7 linked regions of the Canis lupus familiaris genome follow. The main gene of each other region encodes a partner of the protein of the gene in region 3 in a complex. Links are inferred from orthologs where the notes say so. Each region holds a gene or a part of one and is shown on either strand. Other genes may lie near its edges. The genes, in order: EXOSC1, EXOSC4, EXOSC3, EXOSC8, EXOSC2, EXOSC7 and EXOSC6.

What was found.
Region 1: EXOSC3 (region 3) and EXOSC1 share a complex: the UniProt entries of both Homo sapiens proteins name them as parts of the RNA exosome core complex. The link is inferred for Canis lupus familiaris from reciprocal best matches to the Homo sapiens genes EXOSC3 and EXOSC1.
Region 2: EXOSC3 (region 3) and EXOSC4 share a complex: the UniProt entries of both Homo sapiens proteins name them as parts of the RNA exosome core complex. The link is inferred for Canis lupus familiaris from reciprocal best matches to the Homo sapiens genes EXOSC3 and EXOSC4.
Region 4: EXOSC3 (region 3) and EXOSC8 share a complex: the UniProt entries of both Homo sapiens proteins name them as parts of the RNA exosome core complex. The link is inferred for Canis lupus familiaris from reciprocal best matches to the Homo sapiens genes EXOSC3 and EXOSC8.
Region 5: EXOSC3 (region 3) and EXOSC2 share a complex: the UniProt entries of both Homo sapiens proteins name them as parts of the RNA exosome core complex. The link is inferred for Canis lupus familiaris from reciprocal best matches to the Homo sapiens genes EXOSC3 and EXOSC2.
Region 6: EXOSC3 (region 3) and EXOSC7 share a complex: the UniProt entries of both Homo sapiens proteins name them as parts of the RNA exosome core complex. The link is inferred for Canis lupus familiaris from reciprocal best matches to the Homo sapiens genes EXOSC3 and EXOSC7.
Region 7: EXOSC3 (region 3) and EXOSC6 share a complex: the UniProt entries of both Homo sapiens proteins name them as parts of the RNA exosome core complex. The link is inferred for Canis lupus familiaris from reciprocal best matches to the Homo sapiens genes EXOSC3 and EXOSC6.

The regions. Positions count from the first base shown.
Region 1 is NC_049249.1:10,916,235-10,920,258, forward strand, and holds part of EXOSC1 (exosome complex component CSL4), read right to left. Parts: intron 2,675-4,024; coding exon 2,586-2,674; intron 643-2,585; coding exon 609-642; coding exon of another isoform or gene 602-608; intron 69-601; coding exon 18-68; intron 1-17. UniProt on the Homo sapiens protein: Non-catalytic component of the RNA exosome complex which has 3'->5' exoribonuclease activity and participates in a multitude of cellular RNA processing and degradation events.
Region 2 is NC_049234.1:38,325,767-38,330,011, reverse strand, and holds EXOSC4 (exosome complex component RRP41), read right to left. Parts: upstream 2,548-4,245; 5' UTR 2,325-2,547; coding exon 2,154-2,324; intron 2,094-2,153; exon of another isoform or gene 1,906-2,093; coding exon of another isoform or gene 1,843-1,905; exon of another isoform or gene 1,464-1,842; intron 1,292-1,463; coding exon 1,085-1,291; intron 972-1,084; coding exon 612-971; 3' UTR 570-611; downstream 1-569. UniProt on the Homo sapiens protein: Non-catalytic component of the RNA exosome complex which has 3'->5' exoribonuclease activity and participates in a multitude of cellular RNA processing and degradation events.
Region 3 is NC_049232.1:54,408,972-54,413,433, forward strand, and holds the start of EXOSC3 (exosome complex component RRP40), read right to left. Parts: upstream 3,261-4,462; 5' UTR 2,859-3,260; coding exon 2,535-2,858; intron 1,643-2,534; coding exon 1,493-1,642; intron 1-1,492. UniProt on the Homo sapiens protein: Non-catalytic component of the RNA exosome complex which has 3'->5' exoribonuclease activity and participates in a multitude of cellular RNA processing and degradation events.
Region 4 is NC_049246.1:3,769,440-3,774,010, forward strand, and holds the start of EXOSC8 (exosome complex component RRP43), read right to left. Parts: upstream 3,219-4,571; coding exon 3,193-3,218; intron 2,161-3,192; exon of another isoform or gene 1,637-2,160; intron 1,499-1,636; coding exon of another isoform or gene 1,426-1,498; exon of another isoform or gene 1,358-1,425; intron 825-1,357; exon of another isoform or gene 371-824; intron 306-370; exon of another isoform or gene 263-305; coding exon of another isoform or gene 246-262; intron 1-245. Other genes in the region: ALG5 (dolichyl-phosphate beta-glucosyltransferase), read left to right, coding at 1,433-1,498, 3,203-3,374, 3,760-3,806. UniProt on the Homo sapiens protein: Non-catalytic component of the RNA exosome complex which has 3'->5' exoribonuclease activity and participates in a multitude of cellular RNA processing and degradation events.
Region 5 is NC_049230.1:53,364,299-53,368,787, forward strand, and holds the start of EXOSC2 (exosome complex component RRP4), read right to left. Parts: upstream 3,104-4,489; 5' UTR 3,068-3,103; coding exon 2,946-3,067; intron 1,291-2,945; coding exon 1,189-1,290; intron 1-1,188. UniProt on the Homo sapiens protein: Non-catalytic component of the RNA exosome complex which has 3'->5' exoribonuclease activity and participates in a multitude of cellular RNA processing and degradation events.
Region 6 is NC_049241.1:43,777,107-43,781,130, forward strand, and holds part of EXOSC7 (exosome complex component RRP42), read right to left. Parts: intron 1,082-4,024; coding exon 980-1,081; intron 678-979; coding exon 583-677; intron 1-582. UniProt on the Homo sapiens protein: Non-catalytic component of the RNA exosome complex which has 3'->5' exoribonuclease activity and participates in a multitude of cellular RNA processing and degradation events.
Region 7 is NC_049226.1:76,859,146-76,862,687, forward strand, and holds EXOSC6 (exosome complex component MTR3), read right to left. Parts: upstream 2,214-3,542; coding exon 1,395-2,213; 3' UTR 901-1,394; downstream 1-900. UniProt on the Homo sapiens protein: Non-catalytic component of the RNA exosome complex which has 3'->5' exoribonuclease activity and participates in a multitude of cellular RNA processing and degradation events.

The sequences.
Region 1 (4,024 bases), on a different chromosome or scaffold from region 3:
GCTGGAATAAAGGATACCACTTTGGCCAAGACAATGTCACCAGGGCGGAAACTCTTATAAATCTCAACCTGTAAAGAAAGAACAGGAATGTTAAGTGAAAGCTCTAAATCAAATCTACATGAAACTATTTGCCCCTCTGGTAGAACCAGTGTACTTTTTAACTCCACAGGGTGGAAGTCATCGTTAGTGAAGCCAATCAACAACTTTTATTGCTTTTACATCATATAAATGAAAGATTTTTATTTTTTATTTTTTTAAATGAAAAATTTTTAATTCAATAACCTGGTAACGGATCTTAGATAAAAGTTACTACAGTTGGCTCTGAAAGAATACAAAGTAAATCTGAGGGAATAGCAAAGAATAGACACCTGGCTTCAAAGGCAAGGAATAAAGTAGTCCCCTTCTGCTCAATAGAGCAAACAAAAAATCCTAAGGAAAGGAAAAGGACAGTGAGGTGAATTCCACACTTTCCAGTAGGAAACACCTTAAAATTCCTTGGACCTTTGGATCCACATTCCCACAGATGTTTGAAATTCCCTGGAGTAATTTAAAAGGATCGAGATTCCTAAAGTCATAAGGGGAAAAAAAAAAAAGAACCAACCAACAACCTTGTCTTTTTCAGTAGCTCGGACATCTTCCTTGCTATAAAAAAGAATTAACAAAAGATTAATTATCTGTGAGAATTATCCTGCAGAATCATAGCAGACAGAGAGCTACAAGAATAGAGAGAACAAATCATAATTGGGACCCAAAGGCCACCCAGAAGTGGGGTGGAGAAGCATTCCAAGTCCTCCCCTGGAGGAGAAAACCACATTCCCATTCTTGGGTCACACAGAGCAGCAGTATCAATACCTTTGACTAGAGAAAAGCAGATCAGATTTGGCAGGAAAGAATAAGGAACTTTGCTGCCTTAGGAAAGCTTGTACAGAAGCACTACAGAACCAACATGGAATCCTAAGGGTGGAAAGAGCCTTAGAAGCTATATCTAGCTCACAAGAATTGTTGGTCTCTACTTTAAAAACCTACAGGAAAAAACAAACAAAACCCTACCATTCCACTCACCTTTTTAAAAATATATTTTATTTTTTTAAGATTTATTTATTTTACAGAGAGAGAGAAAGAGTGCATATGCCATGAGTGGGGGGGGGGAGCGTGCACCCTATTTTACAGAGGGAGAGAATCTCAAGCAGACCCCTCACTGACTGCAGAGCCAGACACGAGGCTTGATCTGACGACAGCTTATGAGATCACGATCTGAGTTGAGATCACAAGTCGGTCGCTCAACCAACTGAGCCACTCAGGCACCTCTAAGATTCTATTTTTAAGTAATCTCTATGCCCAACATGGGGCCTGAACTCAAAACACCGAGATCAAGACTTACATGCTTTACTGACTGAGCCAGACAGGTGCCCCTCACCCACTAACCTTTTTTTTTTTTTTTTTTTAAGATTTTATTTATTTATTCATTCATAGAGACAGAGAGAGAGAGAGGCAGAGACTCAGTCAGAGGGAGAAGCAGGCTCCATGCAGAGAGCCTGACGTGGGACTTGATCCAGGGTCTCCAGGATCACGCCCTGGGCTGCAGGCGGCGCTAAACCGCTGCGCCACCGGGGCTGCCCACCCACTAACCTTTTTACCTTTTTAAAGTCTTTCGGGGGATCCCTGGGTGGCGCAGCGGTTTGGTGCCTGCCTTTGGCCCAGGGCGCGATCCTGGAGACCCGGGATCGAATCCCACGTCAGGCTCCCGGTGCATGGAGCCTGCTTCTCCCTCTGCCTATGTCTCTGCCTCTCTCTCTCTCTGTGTGACTATCATAAATAAATAAAAATTAAAAAAATAAAAAAAAATAAAAATAAAGTCTTTCGGGATCCCTGGGTGGCGCAGCGGTTTGGCGCCTGCCTTTGGCCCAGGGCGCGATCCTGGAGACCCGGGATCGAGTCCCACGTCGGGCTCCCGGTGCATGGAGCCTGCTTCTCTCTCTGCCTATGTCTCTGCCTCTCTCTCTCTCTCTCTCTCCGCCCCCCATCATAAATAAATAAAATTAAAAAAAAAAAATAAAGTCTTTCAATCCTTAGATTTAAACTATATTAAATACAAAAAAGGAAGATATTTCTTAAGATGCCTTTAACTTTTTTTTTTTTTAAAGATTTTATTTATTCATGAGAGATACAGAAAGAGGCAGAGACATTGGCAGAGGGAGCAGCAGACTCCCTGCAGGGAGCCCGGTGCAGGACTCAATCCCAGGACCCCGGGATCACGACCCGAGCCAAAGGCAGACACTCAACCACTGAGCTACCCAGGTGCCCCTAATTTGTTCCATATGAACTTCCTGCAACACTAGTTTCCAGCTTAGCTCAATTCTTTTCATTTTATTTTAAAGCCCAATCTTGTCAATATTTTCCTTTTGTCCTAGCTCATACATTATAACATTTCCTTTGGACACTACCTGGACAGAATCAAAGAACAAAGAGGAGAGAGAGGCAGGTAGATATAGGAACTGTAATTGTTCCTAAAAATTTCAATCCCTGTTCTATTCTAATCTCATTCCAGGTGCTGATGCAAATGCAAAAACATGAATACTTCTTACCGGATAGTTCCTCGAAAAGAGTTCTTAAGTGGTGTGGACCCCACATATAGGATGTGCACTTTGGCAAAGCGTGAATTGATGCTAGAGACCTGTGGAACAGAAAAAAGATCAGCATTAGAGTAGTAGCAGTTGTCAGTTCAAGGAGGCAGCAAGAAAGGAATTACCAGTGTTTTAGTCCAAGCAATCCTACTAATTATAGAATTTAAGACAAGTTAACTCCTACTTAATTCTGCATAAATGATATATGTCAAATGGAATGAGAGTCTCTCCAGCCACCTAATAAAGTTACTGTGGGCATCCAATGAAATAATATGGAATATATCTTGAAAAATACAGAAGCCTAACAAATAAAAACAGGGCATTACCGTAAATCTAGACCTTTAACTGATCTTACCAAGAGCCCGGTACAGTGCACAGAAAAATTTTTTTAAATGTTTATATTTCTTTTTTTTTTAATTTTTTATTTATTTATGACAGTCACACACAGAGAGAGAGAGAGAGAGAGAGGCAGAGACACAGGCAGAGGGAGAAGCAGGCTCCATGCACCGGGAGCCCGACGTGGGATTTGATCCTGGGGTCTCCAGGATCGCGCCCTGGGCCAAAGGCAGGCACCAAACCGCTGCACCACCCAGGGATCCCCAGTGGACAGAATTTAAGTGTACATTTCAGTTACTGTGTAATATTTGGATCACTGCCTCTTCAGTTATTTTAAGAATAACACATTGATTTTCTGCTGGAACAATTTATAAACAGCAACTAAGAACTCAAGTTGATTTAACTTAACATGGGGGTGGGCAGAGAGTAAGGATGTCTTGTAGTTACTGATCAGTATAGCATTAATTTGTATTTCCCCTGAAACACCCCAAATGATGAAATTTATTTTTAAAAAAGATTTTATTGGGATCCCTGGGTGGTGCAGCGGTTAAGCGCCTGCCTTTGGCCCAGGGCGCAATCCTGGAGACCCGGGATCGAATCCCACGTCGGGCTCCCGGTGCATGGAGCCTGCTTCTCTCTCTGCCTCTCTCTCTCTCTGTGACTATCATAAATAAATAAAAATTTAAAAAAAATAAAAATAAAAATAAATAAAAAAGATTTTATTTATTTATTTGAGAGAAAGAAAGAGACACAGCATGAGTGGAGAGAAGGGGCAGAGGGAGACAGAAAAGCAGACTCCCTGCTGAGCAGGGAGCCTGATGCAGGGCTGGATCCTAGGATCACCACCTGAGCCGAAGGCAGACATTTAACTGACTGGACCACCCAGGTGCCCTAAAAGATGAAATTTAATAGGTCTTTATAAGGTCTTTTGCTTCTCTCCAGACTAAAATAGCTTCTAAATGTTAAAAATAGGCTTCCTTATTATTATTACCCTTTGGCACCTGTTTCCCAAACTGCATACTCAGGGAATCAGCTCAGTGAAAGAGCTACGCATGCTTGAACTT
Region 2 (4,245 bases), on a different chromosome or scaffold from region 3:
GGAACCGGGGTCAGATGACCACAGGGAGGAAGGTGCACAGGCTACTCTCGGCCAGAACGGGTCTCAAGACCTGGGGTATGTGGACTAGAAAGTGGGGAATCCTATTCAGATCAGGAGGTGCCCGGGTGAGGGCTCAGGCAGCGCCGCAGATATGTGTGAAGACTCCCCACCCCTCCGCACCACCCCAGGGGAGAACATTTGTTGTGCTTTCCGAGCCTAAGGCTAGGGAGGCCCAAAGGGCTCCCAGGGTGGAGGGGGCCATGCAGTCCAAGCCATAGTCCAGAGGATGTGGGCTGTGGATGTGCTGGTCTGAGAACTGCCTTCGTCTCACAGCTTGGCTCGTTATGCCAGGCCCTGCCTCACTGCTCAGCTGCCTGAACCTTTCCTAGCACGATGGCTGTTCATCCGCAGACAGGCTCCCCGACCTTCCTCTTCAGGGTTTGGGTCTTGAAGCTGGAAAAGGTATGTCATGTGCGGGGGATGGGGACGGTTCCTAGTCACCTCCCAGAGCAAGCACCAGGCCAGGATCTGAGGGTGTGCAAGTGCTGTGGGGAAATTAAAGTATAGCAGATTGTATGTGAGTTTTATTCTGGGCATGGGGGGCCAGATGCTCAGTCCCCCAGCAAAATAGAGGCCTCGCGTACATGCTGCCGAACCACACGGTCCAGCACAGTGTGCACATCACGGGCAGCCCGGGCAGCCGCCTCTAGCACCTGTTCCAGGTGGTCCTCATGTAGCCGAGCATCCATTTCAAGCAGTGCAATCTGGCCTGAGGCCGGCAGCAAGGCCAGGGCCAGCTGGGGGCCACCAGCTGCCTCTTCCACATGGCTGAGGTCCGCCAGGGCTGTGTTGTCCACAAAGCCAGCTGAGCAGGCACACACAAAGTCCCGCATGGGTATTCCCGCATCCAGCACTGCCAGCGTGGCTGCATTCACACAAGCTGCGTAGGTCCCACCATCTGCCTGCAGCACCTGCAAGTACCGCCCAGTGGCATCGGTCCATTAGGCTCTTGTCCCCCGACTCCCATCCTTGCTTCCCCTTCCTTCCCCCTCCCTTCCTGGGTTGATGGCTGCTGCTTGCTCACCTGCACATATATATCTATCTGGGAACGTGGGTGCAGCTGTGTTAGGATGGCTGCCTCAAATGTCTGACGTAGGTGCAGGCCCATCTCGCAAGACTTTCGGTCCCCATGCGGTCGTCGCTTGCGTTCGCCTGTGCTGAAGGTCGCAGAGCTATACTGACAGTTCACCAGGGCCCTGTCTGGCAGGGCTCGAGCCCGGGAGCCCCGGATCTGGGGGAGGAAGGACACATGAGTCAGGCTCACCCCTCCACAGCTGACACTACGCCTTCCCGTCACCCTCCCTCTACTTCCGGCATCTCCATAAGCAAGCAGGAGGACCTCCATCGGAGGGCCAGTTGGCCAGTCTCCAAGTCATCATGTCTGATATTACTTCTCTTAACAGGCCTCCTTGTTTCCATCCCTGCCTCGTCCCCTGCTAACCCATTCTCCATCCGTGGCCAGAGCAGGTGTGTTCACAAATATCCAGGCTCGGGATGCCAGGGTGGCTCAGCAGTTGAGCGTGTCTGCCTTTGGCTCAGGGTGTGACCCCGAGGTCCTGCAGGGAGCCTGCTTCTCCCTCTGCCTGTGTTTCTGCTTCTCTCTATCATGAGTAAATAAATAAAAGCTTAAAAAAAAATATCCCGGTTGATGTCATCTCCTATACACTTTCGCTGCGTCAATGTCCTGACGCCTCCTAAAGCTTCCCCATCACCCGTGAAATCCTAAGTCGTGTCCCTGGCCTACAGCGCGGCGGGTTCCTGCCTCCCTAGAGCCCCCCAAACCTCGTTCCGAGTTGCTCCCCATCTCCGCCGCTGCGAACGCGCCCCGCTACGTGCCCCAGCCATCCTCCCCGCTCCGGCGTGGACGCCAGGCAGTAGCAGCAGGTGGGTTTAGCTACAGTCCCTCCGCTCATGGAGTTGACGCTCCGCTCCCGAGAAGTCGAACGCGGAGCCCACGGGCTTCGGAAAGGCAGGGGAGGGGCTCCCCAGGAGAGGAAGGCGGTCGGGAAGGCGTCCCCGGGAGGACGAGGTCAGGTACCCCCAGCGCCGGGGAACCCAAGCCCCGCCCGCCCCGCCCGCGCGCGCCCACTCGCCTCGTGCGGCCCGTAGACCACCGCCAGCGCCTTGGTGTTGCCTTGCTCGATGTAGGCCGAGCCGTCGGCCTGCGCGAACACGCCCATCCGCGCCTGGATCTTGCGCAGCTCCCCGGCGCGCCGTCCGTCCACCCGGTAGCCCTGGTCCGACAGGAGCTCCAGGCCCGCCATGTCTCCGGCGGCTGGCCGCGCTTGCGACTCCCGCGAAACTACACTTCCCGACGGCTCCGACCCCACTTCCGGCTTTCTGGGGGCCTACGGCTTCCGGCGGTCCGACACCCACTTCCGGCCCGGGGAACTACGGTTTCCCCGGGGGCAGGCGGCGCCCGCGGCCGTTTGGGGAGCTGTCCCACGGCTGCCAGAGGCGGAGACCGGATGCGGGGAGACTCGCCGGCCGCGCCCCCTCGGGCTTGTCGCAGGGCGGTTCTGACGCCCCCGGGCCTCCCGGGGTCACGCCGCACGCGCCTGCGCCGGGTCTCGGGGGGGGGGGGGGGGGCGGGCTCCGGCCTGCGTCCCGCCCCGCCCCCTGCCCCTCCCCCGCCTGCGCTGCCCGCGCCCCCTGACGCCCTACTCAGCGCCCCGCGCGCCCCCCATCCCTCCCCCCGCACCCTCTAGTGCTCCCGTCTGCTCTTCTCCGCTCACGCTAACCGCAGACGGATCGGGAGCACACGCGGTTGTACAGCCGCGTGGCATTGGGAACTCCGGTTATTTTAATGAGAGCATTTTATACACTTTAATGGTTTTCACTCAAAAAAGACCTTGAGAAATCTGCCCCAATAACCCTGGGGAACGCCCACTAGTTTCCGGTTGGCCGCTCGGCGCCCGCGGAGTGGACGCGCCCAGATGCTCCCCCGCTGCTGCCCGGGTGCGGGGGCGAGGGCGCGCGGGGCCGGGCTAGAACCCCGCGGGATTCCGAGGAGTGGCCGTCGCGGGCGTCCTACCCCGTCCTGACTCGTGTTCCGACACCTCCTGGCGGCCCAGCGCCGTGGAACCGCCCCCGACCAAACCCCCCCCCCCGCCCGCCTCCCCGTCCCCGTCCCCGTCCTCGTCCCGGTCCCCGTCGTCCCCCTACCCCCACTCGGTCCCCGTCCTCGTTCCGGTCCACGTCCCCCGCCCCTCCGTCCCCGTCCCTGTCGCTCCCCTCCCCCCGACCCGTCCCCGTCCCCGTCCCCCCCCACCCCGTCTACGTCCTGTCCCCGTCCCCATCCCAGTCTCCATCCCCTTCCCCGTCCCGGTCCGCCCGGACAGGATGCTCATGCCCCGCACCAGCTGCCTTATTTGGCCGCTCTGCTGAGCCCGGGCTTCAAGGGCGAATGTGGGAAGCGGAGCCAAAGGGCTGAGCGTCGGGGAGGTGCCGCCCGGGGCCTGGGGATGTGCACAGGCTGTGTGCCCCCCCTTTCCCGCCAGCTCCCACTGTGCAATAAAACGGGTGAATCGGGATCCCTGGGTGGCGCAGCGGTTTGGCGCCTGCCTTTGGCTCAGGGCGCGATCCTGGAGACCCGGGATCGAATCCCACGTCGGGCTCCCAGTGCATGGAGCCTGCTTCTCTCTCTGCCTGTGTCTCTGCCTCTCTCTCTCTCTCTCTGTGACTATCGTAAATAAATAAATAAAATTAAAAAAAAAAAAAAAAACGGGTGAATGAAGGGATCCCTGGGTGGCGCAGTGGTTTAGCGCCTGCCTTTGGCCCAGGGCGCGATCCTGGAAACCCGGGATCGAATCCCACGTTGGGCTCCCGGTGCATGGAGCCTGCTTCTCCCTCTACCTGTGTCTCTGCCTATCTCTCTCTCTCTCTCTGTGTGTGACTATCATAAATAAATAAAAATTAAAAAAAACAACAACAACAACAAAAAAAAAACGGGTGAATGAAGATACCCTTGCTCTTTCCAGAAAGGGATTGAGTAGGGGTTGCGTGACTTTATCTCGCTGCATCGCCTTAGCGATTTCGAATAATGAAGAAGAATCCGTTGTCAAGTCTTGCAGCCCGAGGTTTGCCTGGGCTCCTCAGGTGGTTTGTGCTTAGAATCTTTCTGCCTCTAGTCCTGCAAGTGGTGACAGGCGAGGCCTCGGGGGCTTCCTGGCACAGCCACCCATG
Region 3 (4,462 bases):
AAAAGCTCATAGATGAAGAAAAAAAAAAAAAAACCCTCATAGATGGGGTGCCGGTGGCTCAGGTTATGATCCCAGGGTTGTGAGATCAAGCCCTACATTGGACTCTGCACTCAGTGTGGAGTCTGTTTTAGATTCTCTCTCCCTCTCCCCCTCCTCCCATTCTCTCTCTCTCAAGTAAATAAATAAATCTTTAAAAAATAAAACCTCAGAGTTGAACTTCAAAATGATGAAACAAAGGGAATGGAGGAGAATTAACTTGTTCTGTTGTGTATCTGCTATTAGTTGGTGACTGGCAACTAAAGAGAAATAAAAATATTCTTTGTATTTTAGAAGCATTTGGTCGTGGAGGGCAGTGAGGATGTACATATAAATAACAAAGTTCATTTAAGACTTTTTAGGTGCTAAAGTTATAAGAAAGGTGACTGTTGATGAGGGATGGTGTTACCGAGGTGGTGGTGGTTAGCCTGGTTCTCAAAAGATGAGATGTTCCATAAGCTAAGGGGACAGAGCAATCCAGATAAAGGGAACAGCACAAGCAAAGGTACAAGAGCAGGGACTTATGAATTCAGTAGTGCTATTAAATAGTTTGAGATAGGGGGACCTGGGTGGCTCAGTGGTTGAGCATCTGCCTTTGGCTCCAGTAGTGATCCCAGGGTCCTGGGATCGAGCCCTGCTGATGCAGGTTCCCCACAAGGAGCCTGCTTCTCCCTCTGCCTAGCTCTGTGCCTCTCTCTGTATCTCTCATGAATAAATAAATAAAATCTTTAGTTAATAAATAAATAGTTTGAGATAGTTCAAGCATAGATACAATTATAGACAAGAAAGGACCTCTGGAGTATAATGCCAATGAAATCTATAGGCTTCAAAGAAACTTTTTTTTTTTCCTCTTTTGGAGAAAGGAGAGTGTGTGAGGCTGTTGGCTTTTGAGAGGGCAAGTGTAGAGGCAGGGATGTTAATGAGGAGGTCACTGACCAAGTCTGGTAAAAAAAATAGCTAAGGTCTGAACTTGCAATATGGAGACATACAGGGATGAACATGCAAAATATCAGAGACAGAATCAAAGCTGTTGGGAAATGGTGATGTGACTGAAGTTGTGAGATGCCAGTCAATCAGGATGGATAGATGGCTGATATGGCAATTTGCACCATCTACTCCTCCTTCTTCCCCAGCTTATGGTTTACTTCCTTGTCCAGTGGATATGGACATAACAAAAAACAATAGAAAGAACAAATATAACCTTTCAACTCAGTAGAGATGAAACAGCCCCCAATATAGCAAATGTAAAATAAGTATGTGACTCTGGTTAGAGCTGGAGCACTGGAAGGAACTCTTGGACCCCAAAGTGATTACACAGACGCTCAGAGATGACCCCATAGAGCTAGGAAAATAGGTCATGCTTAGGAGACAATTTAGGTAGCCTTTTGGTTATTTGAGTGTTTCTGGATATTCGTATGCTTTTCTTCTTTTTGAAACCAAAAGTTCCCATCATTACCTGCACATTTGGTCTGTTTCTTTTAGTTGCACCTTCAAATGCCAAGTAAGACAAAGAAGCTGGCTCACTCCCTCCAACATCAACTTTGAAAATATCTCCAGACTTAGCTGTCACTATGCCGATCACATGGTCTCCTTTCACGGGGACATACTACAGAAGAAAACAGAATGAAAGAACAGTCATAGATGACAATCATTTCCAAGGTATCTTGGAAGATATCTTTAATAAGTCCTTAGTGGTCATTAGAGTTATTTAAAAAATATTTTGAAATTCAAGTTTACAAATTAATACAAATCAACAACAAATGTGATGTTACTCTCAGTAAAAGAAAAAAAAAATCACACCATAAACTCTCAGGTTTACAGCTTTTAATACTCTGTTCATTTGAGCCAGTATCCCACACCTCTTATTTCCTTATCAGAACTTCCTAGAGCAGGAATCCCTGGATGGCTCAGCGGTTTGGCTCCGGCCTTCCGCCCAGGGCCTGATCCTGGAGTCCTGGGATCGACTCCCACATCCGGCTCCCTGCATGGAGCCTGCTTCTTCATCTGCCTGTGTCTCTGCCTCTCATGAATAAATAAGTAAAATCTTAAAAAACAAAACAAAAAAACTTCCTAGAGCTTCTGCTGGCATATGAAGTCCAATGGTACAGGGGACGGGGTCCTTACAACCAAGAAAGGCTATTTCATTGCTAGACAAACTTTCCCATATTAAAGTTCTTACCTACTCTAAGAGAAATTTAACTCCCTGTTACATCCTCTTATTGAGCCTGGTTCTGGTGCTCCCTGACCTTTGAGACTCTGTAGGCAATGACCCTGTCTCACAATCCCTATCCTCTTAGACGCCAAGATTTCCAGTCTCCTTTGTCTCCTTCTCGGGCCACGCTCCATTTGCTCACAGTCCCTCTGAGGGGAATGCAGCGGTGCGCACAAGATTACGGTGGCTCTGGACCAGCATTCGCAGAGAAGAGGTCCAGGGCCCCATGCAGAGCGAGAATATCCCCCTCACGGCCGTACCACCTCTCCGGAGTCCCCCAACTCACCCGTTTCTGCTGTGAGTCCACCCAGTAAACGCCACCGCCGCTGCCGCCGCCGGGCTCCTTGTGACGGAGGCGGCCGCACTTGGTGACCAGCAGGCGGTCGCCACAGCGCCGCAGGCCCGGGCCGCACACGACGCGCCCCCGGGAGCGCGTCCCCGCATTCAGGCGCAGCGGTCGCTCCCCAGGACCCCCTGGGCCTTCAGCGTCCTCCTGCTCCGGCAGCAGCAGCTCCTCACCCGGGAGCACCACCTGATCCAGCACGGTGCGCGCCGCACGCGCCCGGTCTCCCGGCAGAGACTCGGCCGCAGCACCCACCGCCTCAGCCATACCGCGAACCTCCACACGCAACCTTCAGCTTCCGCTTCCGGCCCCGCGTCCAATCGCCAGCCTGCCCGAGGCGTTCCGTTTCCGGTAGTAGCGGACTATAGGAACCGAACCATCTGCGTCCCTGAAACCTGAGAGCTGTGGGCGGGGGTCCTGCCAAGGTGGCTGCGGTAATATCTCCCGCCCGTCACCTTTCTTGCGGTCTTTCTGCGGATCAGTACGAGAAACACGCGGCTTAAGTCGATGGCAAATACCTCACTTCCGCTGTTTCGGGCTGCACCGCTGGATACAAGACGCTCCCAAGTGTGGTTCCGTGGGAACCTCGACGACCGAGCCGAGGGGCTTCGGGATTGATCCTTTCCTTCCAAGACTCAGCCCTCTGAAGGAAAAGCATTTTCCTTTTTCTAAATAAAACCTGTTTTTATGGTTGCTAGAGAAGATATCAATTCACACTGTGGAAAACAGAGACTAGAAAGAAAATAAGAGGTATTAGTCTTGCCCCCATTTGTCTCCTGCTAGGCCGCCAGATAATTCTGTGTCGCCCAGTCTCTGTCACCTAAATAGATAGGACCTGATGAATCAGTGCATATTGGCATTTTAGTGTGTATTTCTCCGCAGACCTTTTCCCCCTGAAAATATACACATACGCATGTGAATTTTCACATAATTCACCTACCCCTACATGGCCTGGGGAAATCAGTAACTGCAATCAGATTCTTGTAGCTACATTCCTTGAGACACACTAGTTGACCAGGTGAGCAGTTGGATTCCAAATCCATAGAATATCAGGACTGCTCTTACTTGAAATCCAGGTTCCTCTGTACACCAGGATTTCCACTTTGCGGTTGGTCAAATTCCCCAGCAGGGTTGAGAGCTCCGGGGGACTGGGAGGGTTTGGCTTTGCCTTTCCCTTTGAGGCACTGGCTTCCAACGTGAATTTTTAGTTTTGGGGGACGTTTAAGACAGATCACCTCTAACTTACCTTCCATATTTGGCAAAGTGCTGGCAAGCTGACTGCGTAAGCGTATTAAGAGGCCAACTGAAACGTAACTTTTCTTGTTTTGCAGTCAGAGTGTTGTAGAAGCCTATCTTGATTGGTTTATCCTGGCAGGAGGGATGGTGCAGATTTTTTTCCCTCCTCCCACTCCAACCCAGCACTAGAGGACCTGCAACCAGTAGGTATTCGATGACCAAGGCCGCCTAGATGGTGGCTGGCCCAAGGCCATGCCCAAAGGGAGCTCAATGGCCTCTGGTCTGGGCTGGACAGAGAGGTTGGGAGTGGTCCCAGGATTGGTCCCTCCCGCACCCCATGCTGATCGAGAAGTCTTTGGAAAAAATACTTGGCCCAAACCTGGCTAAAGAGGCCTTCAAAGTCCACCACCCGATAGGGGTGGCACGTGGGTACCTCCTGACTGGTTCTCTAGTCAAGAGACGAAACCCCCCCCCCCCAAAAAAGAGACGAAACCCCAAGCTCCAGGGGTGGGCAGTCTCCTAAAAATCCGCAGCTGGGGTCGGAAGTGGCCGGCTGTGGCTCTGGGGGCGTGGGTTCCTCCTGACACGCCCCCCGGGGCGGGTCCAGGGGCGGGGCGCGCGGGAAGGTCGCCTTT
Region 4 (4,571 bases), on a different chromosome or scaffold from region 3:
GCTCGCCTCGGCCCCGAGCTCCGCACACGGTCCCTTCCATCTTCCGTCGGACTGCGGAGAAAAAGCCCCCGTTCCTTTCGCCACGACCACCTCCAGGTCCTTCTGCCCGTCGCCTACTGCCGTGACGGAAACAAACCGGAATCTGGCAGGGTGGCCTCCAGGTGAAAAAAAATCCCAGCGAAGGGTTAAAGGGAGCCTCCAACCGCCAGAGTACAAACACGCGCCCGCCGGCCGCCCACACTCACTTGAACCCGGCCGCCATCTTCCCGCCCGCGCGCGTGCGCCTGCGCCAGGCGAGGCCGCGCCCCCGGGCCGCGCGCCTACCCCGCCTCCAAACTTTCGACAGACGCGCCTGCGCCCTTCGTCCGCTGCTGCAGAGGCCGAGGGCTGGTGGCCGCGAGGGGGTTCTCGTTCCGCCTCCGCTCGGAGGAGCCCAGCGCGCCTCTAGGCTTCTTGGCCTCGGACGCGTTTTGTCGAATCTGCTATTGGGAAAGAGACGGGTGTGTCTCTTTAGAAAAACGGTATGCTAGCTCAGGAGTTTAAGGGAAAGCCGACCTTATTGCCAGGAATTGAGTGAGTATTAAGTGTGGGGCATTATTCCAGAGCTCCTGCGTCCTTTCCCGCCTCTGTCTCAGGCTGGGCCCTGGGCGTGCCTCACCCCAAGGGAAGGGCTCCCTGGAGCTCCAGTTGCTGAGCAATCACGTAAACTCTGTGCGCGCTGGTGATCGCCCCGCGGTACACTCTGCGGGCCCCCGGAGGGGCTCCTGAGGAGCAGCTTGTGCCGTGGGCTGCGTTTGTTCTCAAAGCCGTCACCTCCCTCCTAGGTAGGTTTGCCAGACGGAATACAGAACATCCAATTAATTTTTAATGTCAGATACACAAGCTAATTTTTCCCCACTATGAGTATACCCCAAATAGTACATGTTATTAGTTGTTACGGGGCGGGGGGCGGGGGCGGCTGGGAGCGAAGAATGTTTTAGAAATAGATAATGGGTGCAGGAAATTGTGAATGTAACCAATACCACCGTATCGTACCCTTAAAATGGTTAAAATGGCAAATTTTATGCTGTCTCCGTTTTTAAAGACTCATGGAATACAATAAAACCTTTTTAATGGGTGGATTGCACGGTGCGTGAGTGCTGTCTTAAGACGGCTGTCGAAAAGCCGCTCACTGCCTACCTGAAATTCCGACTGGGTGGAATCCTGTGTGTGCCTGCGGGTTCTGTCAGCCCTGCGGGGAACCCGGCGCCCGCCTCTGCGCGCGAGCCTGGCCGCCAGGGACGGCGTGTGCGCCGCCTGGCCGCGAGGGGCGCTGTGGGCGGCGGGCGGCGGGCGGGCTCGGCCGCTCTGCCGGCGGGAGGCGGAGCTGCGCGGCGGCGCTTCCGCGTGTGTGTAGGCGCTGGGGAGGGCGCGCGGCAGCCGGGTATGGACGATGATTGCGCTCCTGCTGCAGCTGGCTGTGCTCGGCGTGGCGCTGGCGGCCGCCGCCCTGACGCTGGTGAGCAGAGGGCTGGGGACCGACGCGGGCCTGGGCTCCGTCCTCTCAGAGACTCGGCCGCCACGCAGCCTGTCCTCTGCCCCGCACGCTTCGACGCGTCCCTTTCCCCCCACGCTCTCCCCCGAAACTTGACCAGGATTTCCTCTCCTAGAACTTCACAGCCCCTTTCTTCCCTTCTTTGTCTTTATTTTGGAGCGTTACCTCCCTCTGCGGCCAGGCCCTTGTAACGTTGGTTCCCCGGGGGACGTGCGCCCCCGTCAGCCTCCACCGGCCCCGCCGCCCCCGACCTCTGCCCTGTCAGTCCCGACCTCTCCACCCCTTCCTCCTGCATCTGCAGCCTGTGCAGTTCCGGCTGCACCCGGGAAGGTCTCGAGCCCCCCCAGGAGGTTTGCGCTCCCTGGACTGACCCTCCTGATGCGGGGAAGCAACTAGAAGGTGGTGACAGCTTTGACGAGAGCCATCTGCTAGAGATTGGGGTGAATCAGTGGATCAAGAAGACCCAGGAGGGACACAGTAAGGCCGAGGCACGCAGGCCTGCTGTTACCGTTGTCTGGCAGTCCCTATGACCCGGGATTAAACACCCTAAATTCGCTGCCTCTAAAGGAGGGCACAGTAGAATTGAGACTCGGATTTTCTTTGCCATCACTCTGGAAACAAACATTGTAAGCACTTGCTGATTCATTAGTAATGGTTTGCCAAGTGAGCTTTCTCCCTTATAATTTGGAACGAGCCTGCCATCCAGTTAGTACGTGGAGAGGTTCCAGCTTCCTTGACACCCAGATTAGCCCCCCTGACAGCACTGCTGGGAAGGCCGTTCTTCCGCCTTGCCGGGTTTGCACACTTCACAGTTTAGAAATAACTTATAGAGAAAAAGCAACGTGTCCTGACTTCTTCGGTGATTTGTGTCGGGGTCAGAAAGGAGTCCTCTCTCTCCGTTAGGGGTAGATGGAGATTTCAAGGTTTTCTCAGGTTTTTGGTGGGGGCAGAGTTTTGACAGAATCCTAAATTGACTCTGTTTATTTGATCTATCTGTTTTATAGAATTAAATGGGTGCATTTTGAGGATGAACTGGAAGTATTTGATCCTACCAGCTTGTGATTATAAGAGCTACTATTTAGGGCACCTGGGTGGTTCAGCAGTTGAGCATCTGTCTTGGGCTCAGGTCGTGATCTCGGGGTCCTGGGATCGAGTCCCACATTGGGCTTCCCGCAGGGAGGCAGCTTCTCCCTCTGCTTATGTCTCTCTGCCTTTCTCTTTGTCTCATGAATAAATGAAAATAAAATAATTTTTTAAAAAGCTAACATTTATAGAGGACTTATAATTTGGGGGTATTGTATTCAATGTTTTATGTTGTGCGATCTTTAAAACAATGCTAAATGAATGTTGTCATCATTAGCCAGGGGTTGGAGATTCAGGGCATCTTAAAATGGATTGCACTTCTCTGGTGACTATTCCCTATTAAATCTGGGATGACAGAGGCCTAGGGATGACAGGTGGGAAGACACAGCTCCTAAGGCATTAGTTCCTACCAATGGAAGAAGGACAATTATTAGTTCATAAGTAAGGGATTTGAATTTGGTGTCACCTCCAGACCATTCTTAATGGACTAAAAACTGAGAGTGAACATTTAACAACAACAATAAAAATCACATAAATGATGTAATCTTACATAATATAGTTTCTTGTTAACATACCTACTTTTAGATTTCCTTTGTTGCATTTATAACTGCTACAAAAATGCCACATCTCCATCAACATGAAGAGGAGAAGTTCTTCTTAAATGCCAAAGGACAGAAGGAAACTTTGCCCAGCGTATGGGACTCGCCTACCAAACAGCTCTCCGTTGTTGTGCCTTCATACAATGAAGAAAAACGGTGTAAGCCCAATTTCATTTTTGGGATATGGGGCCATTGGGAAGAAAAGGAAATTTAAAGTATGAACTTTACTATCTTTGTGAGAACATTAGTAGATGTGGGCTCTGATGAGTGCATAGTTGGTAGTTGTAGTTCATGAGAGTGGAAACAAATGCCAGCTATAAAGAATACGGTCAGCATCATGAAGTCATAGGACTGAAGTGTTCTAGAGAGACATTAAGCTAGTTGTGGACAGAAAACAGGCCTTCTAGTTGGGAAGGGCCACTGGAAGAGGTCCGAGAGGGCTCTGTTAGACTATTCAGACTTTTTCCATATGTAAACTGAGTGGGGGCTTGGCAAATCATTTTCGAAAACAATTTTTCAGAGATGTATTTTTTTTTCTTTAAGTGCCTGTAATGATGGATGAAGCTTTGGGCTATCTGGAAAAGAGACAGGTACCATATTTCTCTTTCAATATGATGTCCCTAGTTAAAACTAGACTAAATCACCAATTTAGAGATCCCAGGCTAGATCTGTTGAGAGAGGCAGTGCCAGCCATGCCCAAGCCGTCGAGGTCACCAGGGCCTCCTGTGCTCAGCTTGTCCCCTTCCATCACGGGTTAGCATGCAAGCCCAGCACATGACACGCTACCTCCAGACGCACGCAGGTGGGTGAACCCAGAACAAACGGAAAGCAGAAATTTCTTATGTACCCTCCCAACCACTTTGTATGCTCTTGCCTGATGATATATTTAAAATTAAGTATGTCTGCAGACTGTGTGGCAACACGATGCTGTTTTTACTTTAGTGACTTTTTAAAACATTTATTTGAAAAAGACTTAGAGTGAAATTGTTTTTCTTTATTATTCAGAGGAGTTCCGCTCATTTATTTTCTCTACTTTCCCTGCATAAATAGAAGAAAAATAGTATGTGTCCTTGTTTTGTATCATCAGCTGCTGCTGGAATCTTCTTGGAGAGTTTAAGGAAACAAAATGAGCTTTGTGGCTGGTCCGTTTTTTTTTTTTTTTTTTTTTTTTTTTGGTCTGGCGGGGGTTTTTAAATGAGAAAACAGGCTAAAACTCTAACTCATCCAATATCATAAGTTAGAAATAGTGTGGCCAGATTAGAATTGCACATTCTAACCTCATGGGCTTTTTTTTCTCATACATATTTGTATCCTCTCTCATAAGTGCTCAGCACCACAAGCACCTGGCTACTCCA
Region 5 (4,489 bases), on a different chromosome or scaffold from region 3:
GAGGACTATGCCATTCTCCTGAATTGCAGTCTAGTCAACTGCTGGCTACCTAGCATCTCTATTTACCTGACTAATAAGCATTTCTGAATGTCACCAATCTAAAGCAAAGCTTTCCAGCAGCCCCTGCCCAGCCAGTGAAGCCTCAATAAACGGCAACACCATTCCTCAAGTTGCTCAAGCCAAAAATCTTGGGAGTCTTTGGAGGGATACTTGATTTCTCTCCCTTTCCATCTCTCTCTCTCTCATGTTCCAGGACACATCTAGCAGCTAATCCCACTGGCTCCACCTTTGAAATATACACAGAAATAAAAGGCATCCAAACTGGGAAAGGAAGAAGTAAAACTATGTCTATTCACACACATGGTCCAATATATGGAAAATCCCAAAGAATACTAAACCCAACACACTTACATGATTTAAAAAAAAAAGGGGGGGGGGGGCAAAACAAAAAAACTCAGAACACAAAATGTATGCAGAATCCGCCATTACTACCCACTTCTACTGCTACCTTAGTCCAAGCCACCATCACTTCAGATGATAAAAACAGTCCATTAATCGTCTCTCTAAGCATGTGTTCCCCCTCAATCTCTCCTAGCAGCCAGAGTGAATTTATTAAGACAGAAATTCAGACCATGTCCCTCTTCTGTTCCACCCTCCCAGTGGCATCCCAGACTACATAAAGTGGAAGTCAAAATGCCTATCTGTGGAAAAAAAAAAAAAAAGAAAGAAAATGCCTATCTGTGCTACAAGGCAGGCTGTCTGCCCACCTCGGCTCTCTACCTGCATCTTCTCCTGCATTCCCCCACCCTTGCTCACAAGGTTCCAAAACCACCGGTTTCCTTTCTGGAGCTAACCTTTATTGAGCCCTTCTAGGTAGTAGGCCCTGAGCTAAGTACTTTACATGTCTTATTTCAATGAATTCTAGTGAAAATCCTACAAGGTAGATCATGCTATTACCCTCAATTTGCAGAGGAGGTAACCAAGGTTTGGAGAGGTCAAGTAATGTGGGGATCCTTGGAAGCCCACACTTAACTACAGTCACCTATACCCTTTCTATATAGTCATGTTCAAAATCACAGACCTGCTAAATGATAAAGCAGGTGGGGGTAAGGGGTATTTTGTGGCAGAAAAGACCTGGCTGGTAACCTGAATGGCGCAAGAAAGAGAATACACACCTTTTGTTCTCACCTGGTTTTCAAAGCTTTCACACATATCAACTTGTTTACCCTCTCCACTGAGCCAGCCACAGATGCAATGAGCTTCTCTTCCCCCATGTAAGTTCCATGGCCCCTGTTTTGAGAGTAGGATACAAAATATACGATGGTAAGAGTTGACCTCTCCCCCCAAGAATAATATATTCTTTTTTTTTTTTTTTAAGATTTTATTTATTTATTCATGAGAGACAATGAGAGGCAGAGACACAGGCAGAGGGAGGAGCAGGCTCCCCATGGGGAGCCCAATGTGGCACTCGATCCCAGGACCCGGGACCATGACCTAAGCCAAAGGCAGATGCTCAACTGCTGAGCCACCCAGGCGTCCCCAAGAACAATATGTTCTTAACAGGCTCCTCCTGCCTTTAAAGCCCGGTTTGTCTCTCTGCCCAGAACACTCCTTCTTTAAAGAGCTGCACAGACATCTCCCTTGTCCTACTCAAGTCTACTGAAATGTCACTTTCTCTATCTGGCCTATCTGACTTTTTTAAGTCATTTACAATAGTTACCCACCCCACTGCCACCACCTCCACAATATTTCCAACCACATTCCACCTACCCTGCTCAACTTTCCATTTTCCCCACTGAATTTATCACCAAACATACTAACTTGTTTGTCCTGCTTACTGTTTATCTGTTTCGAAATATAAATAACATGAGAGAGTTCTACTTTGGTCACAGTCCTGCTCCAACTGCACATAAGACAAACATATACTTCATTCATGAATGAAGGACACTTAAGATTCCTTAGGATCCAATAACCTCAAACTAAAAGGTTCAAGAGCAATGTTGTAAATGCTGTAACACCCCTCCCCCCACCCAAAGGCTGAAATACCACTAGTGTTTACCTATAATGGTGAGTTCTGCTTCTTTGTTTTTTTTTTTTTTTTTGCTTCTTTGTTTTTAAGAGAAAGAAAAAGGAGGGGCAGAGATGGAGAGAGAATCTCAAGCGTGGGGGGGGGGGGGACGGGGAGGGGGCGCAGAGGCTCCATCTCAGGACGCTGAGATCACACCTGAGCCAAAATCAAGAGTCAGACACTTAACCGACTGAGACGCTTCTTTTCTTAAATTATTTCCTCATGTAATCCTCACTTTCTTATCAAATAGTCACTGTTATTATCACAGTGATAATACATTATGAGGAAACTGACCTCGGAGAGGAAATACAACTTAGCTTATAAATATGTGACGGTACAGGGCTGGAACCCCAATTGTCTGGCTCAAGAGCCTGCACTCTCAACTACACATATTGTACTGCCTTCAGGTTCAACGTGTAGATTTGGGTGCATGTAGCACAATATATTGTGTATGCCCTACGCCCAAACAATTACTGCTTTCAAAACCGAGCACCTGGCTAACAGATGCCGAGAGAAGAGGCCGGGTCAGGAATGCCCACTGGTCCCTCTTCCTAACACTGGAAAGAGGCCCCTGCTCCTAACCTTCCCCAGTTCTGCAGATTTCCCACGAAGAAGGCGATCGGGGCCTCAAGCAGAGAACCCAGGAGTCCCTGACACCAGTGGTCGGGACAGAAGGGTTACCAAGGACTGAGGCAAACGGAGACGGAGACACACAAGGTGCGCAGAGTAAGAAGCCCGAGGCCTTGCAAACATGGGGGCGGGAATGCTCAACTGTGCCCTGCGTCCGGCGGGTGCTCAGATGTAAGGGAACAGAGGCCACGTGCAGAGAGCCCAGCAGCTGCCCTTTGGGGCCGCGAGTCCCCAAGTCCTCACGTACCGCATGAATCCCGTGTCCGTGGTGATCGTGTCCCCCGGAACCACCAGATGTTTCTTGGTATCGCGGCCCACGCTCTCGCTAAGAGGCTTGCGAGCAACGGGAAGCCTCATCTCCATCGCCATCTTGGCGCCAAAGAATGGCGCAGGCGCAGTTCGGCCTGGAATCGCGACATCCGGCTCCGCAATTCCCGGCCGTCGCACGGGTCTCAGAGCGGCCGCCAATGGGAACGCACAGTTCGGTGGCCATGTTTACTCTTGGCAACCATTAGGTTAACACGAAGGGAATGAGGGAGCCAAGTTGCCATTTTTACTATTGGCAAGGCTCCACCTACAGATCCATGAAATATCAGGTTTCGGAGCGTTCGATTTTTTTTCACCAAAAATCTCTCCGTAATCATCATCCTATTCATTGTTTACCAGGGTTAGAGGTAATTGAGAAATGGGCCTGTGAGTTACCTTCCAACTCTAAGTTGCTAAAATGTGATTCTTCGGTATGAGAGAGCTCGGGAGACTGGGGATGGCATCTACAGAAAACACTCATTGGGAAAAAAAAAAAAAAAAGAGGTCCTTTTCATACTGTTCCTCGTAGCCCCAATATACTGCATTACTGCCTCCTCGTGGGTGCTCCTTCAGCACCAACCATCCACCTCTACCCCCAAACAGTACTCCAGATGCTGGTTCTGTTCTTAATAACTTCTTTTGAATGAGCTGATTTACTCTGACTTAAAAAGAAACCCGCCCAAGAAAATATACAAAGCTTGCAAGGCGGGTGTATTTTATAGGGTGAATACGTGGCTTTATCTCCGTGTCCTGTTCAATAGGAGCATTTGCCTCCTCCCTTCTCCCTGCCTCCCACTACCCTATCCCTTCTCCTTGTCCTACATGGTTCATAGCATCCACAACAAACTGCGTTTCGACCTCAGGGAATTGGAGCTGATGATTCTTTATGCACAAAGACCCTTAAGAGGATTAAATAACTTGCATCAGCCACACACACTATGCTCAGTAAATCAGGTCCACTGCCTCCTGAAGATCCATCAGACCAGTTGCTTGATTAGTCTCCAAATAGAGAACATTTCTTTATTTTTTTAAAGATTTTATTTCTTTATTCATGACAGATACAGAGAAAGAGAGAGAGAGGCAGAGACAGAGGCAGAGGGAGAAGCAGGCTCCATTCAGGGAGCCTGATGTGGGACTCGATCCCAGGTCTCCAGGATCACGCCCTGGGCTGAAGGCGGCACCAAACCGCTGAGCTACCTGGGCTACCCCAACATTTCTTTCTAAGCAAAGCTCCCAACTATGCCTGTCAATCCTGCAAGGCAGTAAACGATATAAATTCTGGAGCCCCATGGGGCATGCACATACCAGACGCTTGCCTGGAGGAAGAGAGCTACAGAAGGGTGAGAAGATCCATCTGTTGAGTCTGGCCTCCGCCATAAGAGGGCAGTAGTGTCCTGTGAGCCAAGGTAACCCAGCCCGCTAGGGAGCTAGGCCTGGGAGTGTCCCTAGACTAAGAGTAGGGTACTCTTGACATCATCCACTTTC
Region 6 (4,024 bases), on a different chromosome or scaffold from region 3:
CAATCTTCTTTCAAATTGTTTTTCTTTAGAAGCACCTTGGTGGCTCAGCTGGTTACACATCTGACTCTTGATTTCGGCTCAGGTCATGATCTCAGAGCTGCATGAGGTAAAATCAAGCAGACTCCCCACAGAGCTCAGGCTCTGTAACAGGCTCCACATTCAGTGGGGAGTCTGCTTGAGGATTCTCTCTCCCTCCCCACCCCTGGCTCATGTTTGTGTTCTCTCCCTCTCTCAAATAACAAAAAAAAATCTTTTTAAAAAATAAAATAAATCATTTTTCTTTAAAAGCATATGCATAGGGGCACCGGGGTGGCTCAGTCAGTTAAGTGTCCAACTCTTATTAAAGATAATGTATGTAAAACATTCATCACATTGCCTGCTATGTGGTAGGCAATTAATTAATGGTGACTATCATAATGTGTTTCAGAAGTAAATAGTTGCAAATGGAAAAAAAAAAGTGTCCAACTCTGGTCTCAGCTCAGGTCTTGATCTCAGGGTCATGAGTTCAAACCTCATGTTGAGCTCCACACCCAGTGTGGAGCCTACTTAAAAAACAAACATACATATATACATAGTACTGACCAGTCAACAAAGAACTCCAAGTAGCCTTCATTTGGTTTCTCCAGCTTTGGCGTCCCCATTTCTGCTTTCACTCCCACCAAGATGTCTGTGTGACCCTGCAGAGACACATAAGAAGGGTCCTCACTCAGGGCAGGTAGCTAGATACCCAACCACCTCCCTTCTCTCACAGACTATGCCCCTGGGGGACCATTTTAGGAGCAGCGCATAGGAACTTGGGAAGTGGCCCTTTGAAAAGGTAAAGGGTCCTTCAGACCTAGACAGACACCCTCCCAGAGTTTGGCTTGGGTCTTGGATTCCCTAGAAAAATATGCCTCCCAAAGCCCAGAGGAGTCTGCAGCTGGCTCTCTAGGGCCTGCCGATCCTCCCCATGGGCATGAACTATAGCCACAGTACTTACTAGTTTGACTCTGGCCGACCCACTGGTGTTAGACACCACGTCAGTTTCTACTTCAACACATCGGTAGTCCTCACAGCCACGGCCATCCACACGGAGGTCTTCCTAAAGTGCAAGAACCACAACTGTAATACAACCACAACCAAACCACCAACAGATTACTAAACTCATTCATGCCATTTCTCCCAGGAGAACTAGGCATTACAGCATCCCGTTCTCAGTGAATCATCCAAAATTCTATCCTTGTAGCTAGGAACAACATTACTATTTTACACAGGAGGAAATGAAGACTCAGAGATGTAAAGCAGTGTATCTGAGGTCCCACAGCTGGTGACACAGACCAAAGGTGGGCTTCCACCCAGGCATGGCAAAGTGGCAAAGTCCGTACTACATCCCCCCTATACCGAAAAGGCACACAAAACAGACAAAATCTGAACAAGAGACAAAATAAGCTGCCTCTTTCCAAATCTGCCATGCCAAAATTGCACCAGGAAGTATGTATTGTCAGAGCTACGGGTACAACTGTCTCAGCTGTAGCCCTCCTGCCCCCTAAACTCAACAAAATCCACTCTGCGGACAGACAAAAATAACTAGCCATTATCTTCTAAGCCAGGCATTCTCTAGAATAGGGACAGCACACTTAGGCCCGAGGGCCACCTGCTTCTCTGAAATGTTTTCCTGGAACACAGCCACGCCTGTTCCTTGAGGCAATCTAGCTGCTTTCACACTCAATGATTGTGAAGCAGATCTTATAACCTGAAAGCCCCAAATCTTATCTAGCCCTTCACGGAAAAGTTTGTCGACTCCTGCTGCAGAAGATAGATTTCAGAGTGGTCTACGATACTACGTATCCCTTGTCCCCTTTTATTTACTTCTTCCATTAGTTACTTATACCAATATAACTCACAGATCTCTGTTTTATGCTGTAGTTATAATCCAATACTGTCATTATTTATCCTGCTGCTCAAAGTGTTCCAGATCTGGCCACTGGGAGTTCCTTTGGGTTGGTTCCTACATTCTTTTGACATGCCTGCAACCTTTTTTGAGAACATCTTTACTTCTGACAAGATGTTCCAGCCTCTTGAATTTTTCCCTGCCCCAGCCCTGGGATTAGCCCTTCTTCTGAGGAGTCATGATTCCTTTCATTGAAGAACAGTGCTTTAAAATCCAGGATCTGATTGCTAAGTAAGTTCATTGCCACTGGGATATCATTGCTTCCAGAACTTCTCTGCAAAGGGAACTAGGTAACACTGATGTACACTAACCCACACAGCTGTAATTCTTTCTATGTCCATCCACGTAATAATTATATCTACACACCTATTATATCCACATAACTATTACAAGGCCATGTGTTCACACTGATAAGTTGGTTCTAACCTTCCTCCTCCTATTTGTAACTTCTTTCTCAGAAAGGGAGAAACCTGGCTCTCATTATCCACAATGTATTTATGTATTTGTGAAATCTTGAGAAACAAATTTACTAATGGAGGACAGTACTTGGGTCCAGTTCTTTTGTCTTTAGCCTTACAGTCCCATCTGGAACCCTGTTTCCTGGTGTCTTCCCCAACCTTCAGTTTGGCTCTTCTATTCCTCTGCACCCCTGTGAGGTTCTAGTGCTCTCAGTGCTCCAGTGTGGCTACTTTTAATCATTTATTTACTTTTTGGGTACGTGGACTTATCGCCATGACTCTTTTGCTCAAAGTTATCAGAAAAGGTGTGCTCAGGGAAAGGCCACTCTTCCCTCAGCCCTATTTACATGCCCTCCTTCTTTCTAGCTCTTTCCCAGCCACCCCAGGCAGTCTGTTTAATTGCTGGTTCATCATTCCCGTACTTCCTTTGCATAATCGAGCAGATATGTGAATATTTTTTATACCCGCTTCTTTCTTACATGAAGAGAAGCATACTAGAGATACTGTTTTATACTTTGCTACTTCTGCTTTTTTTTTTTTAAACACTTAAGAATACATATGCAGGAAATCACTACACATCAGCTCATGGAGATCTTCCTCATTTTTTGTAAACATTTTTTCAAAGCATTTTTTTCTTTCAGAAAAAGACTCAGCTTCATCAGATTCTCAAAGGGGTTAATGCTCCTCAAAATGTTTAAAAACACTGTTCTAAGCTATGTGTCACAAATTTATCTTTAAACTGCCTGGCTCACTGCATATATGACTGACTTTTGATTTTGAGATACTGAAATCCAGCAAAGCACACCATTTGCCCAGCTCCAACCTTCTCTGTTCCTACTCTTCCCCATCCCAACTCCTGTTAATGCAGAGAAAATAAACATTACAGGTCAGCTTGAAGTCCCTTTGCTGCTCATCCAATCCCCAGGCCTTCCCCTCCCTGGAGGCAGTCCCCATCTTGAGTCTGGGGAGATCTGTACTTAAAAAGCAACAGAATTTCAAGTCTAGGAAATGAACTCCAAGGACCAACTCCATAAAGTGATCTCTCTTCACTGGAGGATCCCCAAACTATGTAACTATCTCTTTAACAACTCACCCATAGAACAGGAAAGGCTTCTTCCTAGGTCAATCTCTGATGCCCCATCCCCCAGTAGTGCCCTGTGAGGAATGTGAAAACAGGGCCCAGAAATATCATTTACAAAGACCTCCTTCCTGCCTGAGTCGCAGGTCAGGTGTATATGCGTGAGCAATCACTAGGAGTATTAGTCATGGGCTCCAGGCCTGGTCCTGCCATACCTAGCTGCTTGACCGAGGACAAAATGCTCAGACTAGTTTCCTCCTTTGTTGAAAGATGGACATTGAATTAGAAGGCCTCAAAGGTACTTTTCTAATTCTACAGATCTATAAGTTAAAACAGCCACAATTATTTGCAAAAACAAATAGCAGCTACTCTCTAACGTGCAATTACTTTACTTGGGATACTGTGCTAGGAATGCTACACAGTTGACACATTTACTCTCAAAATAACCCTGTAAGATAGCTTTTTGTTGTTGTTGTTGTTCCTCTTTACAAATGAGGAAAGAGGTTGAAAGACTCTAAACGTCTGGGCTCAGGTCACATAGCCAGTAAGGAGCACTTT
Region 7 (3,542 bases), on a different chromosome or scaffold from region 3:
CCTCATTCTGGTCTTTGGGCTGCCTCAGGCCAGGCCTTCCTGGAGAAGCTGAGCAGGCCCCTGCATCACAGAAGTTCAGCAGTTCCTACTCAGCCAGGGCACAGAAGAGGGGACCAGGCTTCCCTGCCTTCTTCCAATTCAGACCTGAGCACAAACCCACAGAGCTCATGAGCCACATAGGGAAGATCCTGCTCTTGTGGTCACTCAGGCCAGTTCTCCATATGGAATGATGGCCAGGCCACATCTGACTTCCCAACAACCAGCAGCTCTTACTCCTGGAAGTTCATCTGCCCTTTCCCAGGAGGCAAGACTGGACCAGGGGCACCAAATAATAAAGCCAACCTGGTGCAGCACCTGGGCTCAGTCGGTTAGGCATCAGATTCTGATTTTGGCTCAGGTCATGATCTCAGGATCATGAGATCAAGCCCAGCATCAGGCTCTGCGCTCAACATGGAGTCTGTGTGGAATTTTCTCTCTTCTTCCCCACTGTCAACCCCCTTGCATGCCTCTAAATTAAAAAAAAAAAAAAAAAAAAGGCAGCCTGGACCCCTACTTCTTAGCAGCAGTGGGGGAGGCCTCTAGCTTCCACCCAGAGCCAAACCCCTTCCACCTACCCAAACCTGAGCTGTGGTCTTGCCCAGCACCAAACCAGAGGCCACAGAGTACACCCAGAGTGCTCCTGGGCCCACACAACCTTCCCTACTGTTGTCACCTTGGCAATGGCCAACTCTGCTACTCTAGGGGCACCTTCACCTCCTTCAAAGCACATTTCCCCACACCAACTCCTGCACCTCCTTTAGTTTCAGCCAGTCTTTTCTGCTTATGTTGGTCTAAGGAACAGGACACATTTAAGACAATGCTGTCCCCAACCCCTTGACACCAGGAGTCGACTACAGGGCACAAAAGAACCTTGTTCTTTTAAATTCACTACCGAGATGAACCACGATAGACTTTTCCAGATATAAAGGAGTTTGTTTTAGCTCAGATGTAAATGAGAAGGCACAGCCCCCTTGTCCATTCTCTCAAAAGCAGCCCAAGTCTATAGAAGGGAGTCACTAGCTGGCCTGCACAGGGTCCATCCCTTACAACAGTTCCAAGTCCCGTCCTCCAGATGAGTCCAGCTGAAGTCCTTCCCAACCTGGGAGGCAAGCTGCATTCGCAAGTTTCTTCACCTGGGTCGTAGCTGGGAAGCACCTGCTCAAGTAGAAACGTTTCTTTAACAGAAGTCTCTCAAGAGCCGTCCCAACACAGCCGTCCGGCGCTGTGCACGCCCCGTCGGATCCTCTCCCGCCCGGAGTTCTCCGCGCCGCGCAGTCTGGCAGCGGACGGCAAGGGTCCTTCGGGGGACGGGGGCAGCTCGGTCCTCGGCGTCCGTGGTCGCTCGGGCTCCCGGCTCAGGACGGCGCGGCGGCGCCCCTCCGACGGGCCGCCCGCACCAGGCACTGCTGCAGCACGGGGTAGAGGCGCTGGCAGCCCTCCAGGCCCAGACGCACCGCCTCGGCCCAGCTCTCGGGCGGGCCGCCCTCCCCGCTGCCCAGCAGCCCGGCCACCTGGTTGAGCACCGGCATGAGCGCCACGGTGAGGCCGGCGGCGGCGCGCTCCTCCTCGAGGCGCGTGGGGTCCAGCAGCCAGGTGGGCGCGGGTTCCGGCGTGCGGCTCAGGCCGCAGCCCACCACCAGGTCGTACATCTCGACCCCCGCGTCGGCCAGGGCGAGCGCGGCGGCCGTGAGCGCGGCGGCCAGCGCCGAGCCGCCGTCCTCGAGCAGCAGCGCCGACACCTCGAGCTGCGCGCGCGGGTAGCGGCCCAGGCGCACCGCCGGCTCGAGCGCCTCCTGCAGGGCCAGCGCCAGCTCGCGCTCCTCCCCGCCGCCCGGGGGCGCGCGGCGCCGGCGGCCGGCGAAGGGCGCGCGGCGGAAGTCGCAGAGCAGGCGGCCGCGCAGCGCGGCCGGGGCCTCGCCGCCCGCTCCGGCCGGGCCGCCGCCGCGCTCGCTGCCCTCAGCCTGGCGCGGGCCGGACACGGCGCACAGCACCTTGGTGCCGCCCGCCTCCAGGTAGGCCGAGCCCTTGGCTTGGCTCAGGAGCCCGGCGCGCGCGTACACGGGCCGCAGCCGCGTCGGGTCGCGGGCCGCGGGCGCCTCGTCCTCGTCGGCCGCGTACAGCTGCGGCGGCTGCGACTCCTCGGGCCCGCGGATTCGGCGGTGGTCCCCGGGCATGGCGGCGCCTGGCGTGCGAGCCGCTTCCGCCCGTCCCCTCGGCCCCGGCGCCGGCGCTTCCGCCCGCTTAAAGCCGCGCGCCCGCGCGAGGGCTGTCGGGATAGCGGCGGCCGGCGCCGCCCCGCCCCCTGCCGTCCCGGAGGAACCACAGCCGAGCCGCGGGGCCGCCGCGGGGCCGCCGGGAGGTCCCTGGCCGAGGGGGTGGGCCGACGGGGGGACCGGGCCGGCCTGCCTGAACGCTAGCCTCTCGGGCCAGCGCAACCCCAGGGCGCACATCTGCGTCCTTTCACTTGTAAAGGTTGAAATTATTTTGCACTTACACGTGTGACCATCTCCTACGTGTTCCCGTCTTGCCCAAGACATGGTCATTCCTCAGTGCCCTGGCAGGAGTAACGCTTGTTGAATGGAACATTCTCTCTCCTGCACTGGATTGTGTACACTCCGTACCCCTAGGAGTCCTCACCTGGCACGTCTTGCTGAACCATGTCCCCCTGCTGCTTCTCACTCCCGGCGAGGACGGGCCCTCACCCCCAGGCTGGTGACCAGAGCAGGTAGCCTCTGCTGCTGCTCGCCTCCTTCCTTGTCAGCGGGACTAGTTAACCTGGGCCCCACTGCCAACTGTTGTACCCAGGGAACACGAAATCAGCCAGAGCTAGCACAAACAAGCAGAACCTTTAACCTCCCCAGCGAACAGTTTCCAAACCCAGCTGTCTTCAGACTTGAGTGAAGGGATTCGGGACCAGGGCAGGTCCCGATCGATCCTATCCATCTTTGGGTCAGGGAACCAGCAATGATGGGTCAAAGGGAAAGGGGTAGTCACCTAATGCACCCTAAGAACACCTCTGATCTCACACCTGACTGCTCAACATCAAAAAGGAGAGGAAGAGGGACACAGGCCTAAGAATGGGAGAGCTTCTCCTATAAAGTGCTTCCAGTAACCCCATGGCCCATCTTCTATTGAATGACTAATGACTCTCTCCATCTCACCCACTCAACTCCCCATCCTATGGGCCACCTTCACCAATGTCTTCAGGTAATCCAGAGGCCATTCCCAAAGTTCAGGAGTTGAGCTGGACTCGATGAGGACCACAACCAGAAGCCAGTTGGGGCCATAGGCTATTACACAGGGGGCTCCTATGAGAGGTGGGGGGTTAAGAGATCACATAGCATCATTGAGTATTGCACATAGTCCTTTTATTCTCTGCAGCAGAGAGGCCTAAAAGAACTCTTATCTACAGACACGAGCATTGTCATGATAAATAGCAATCCTGGGGTAGTGGTTTTAGACATGGTGCTGGTATGTAGGGAGGGCTCAGGGCAGAAATGTAA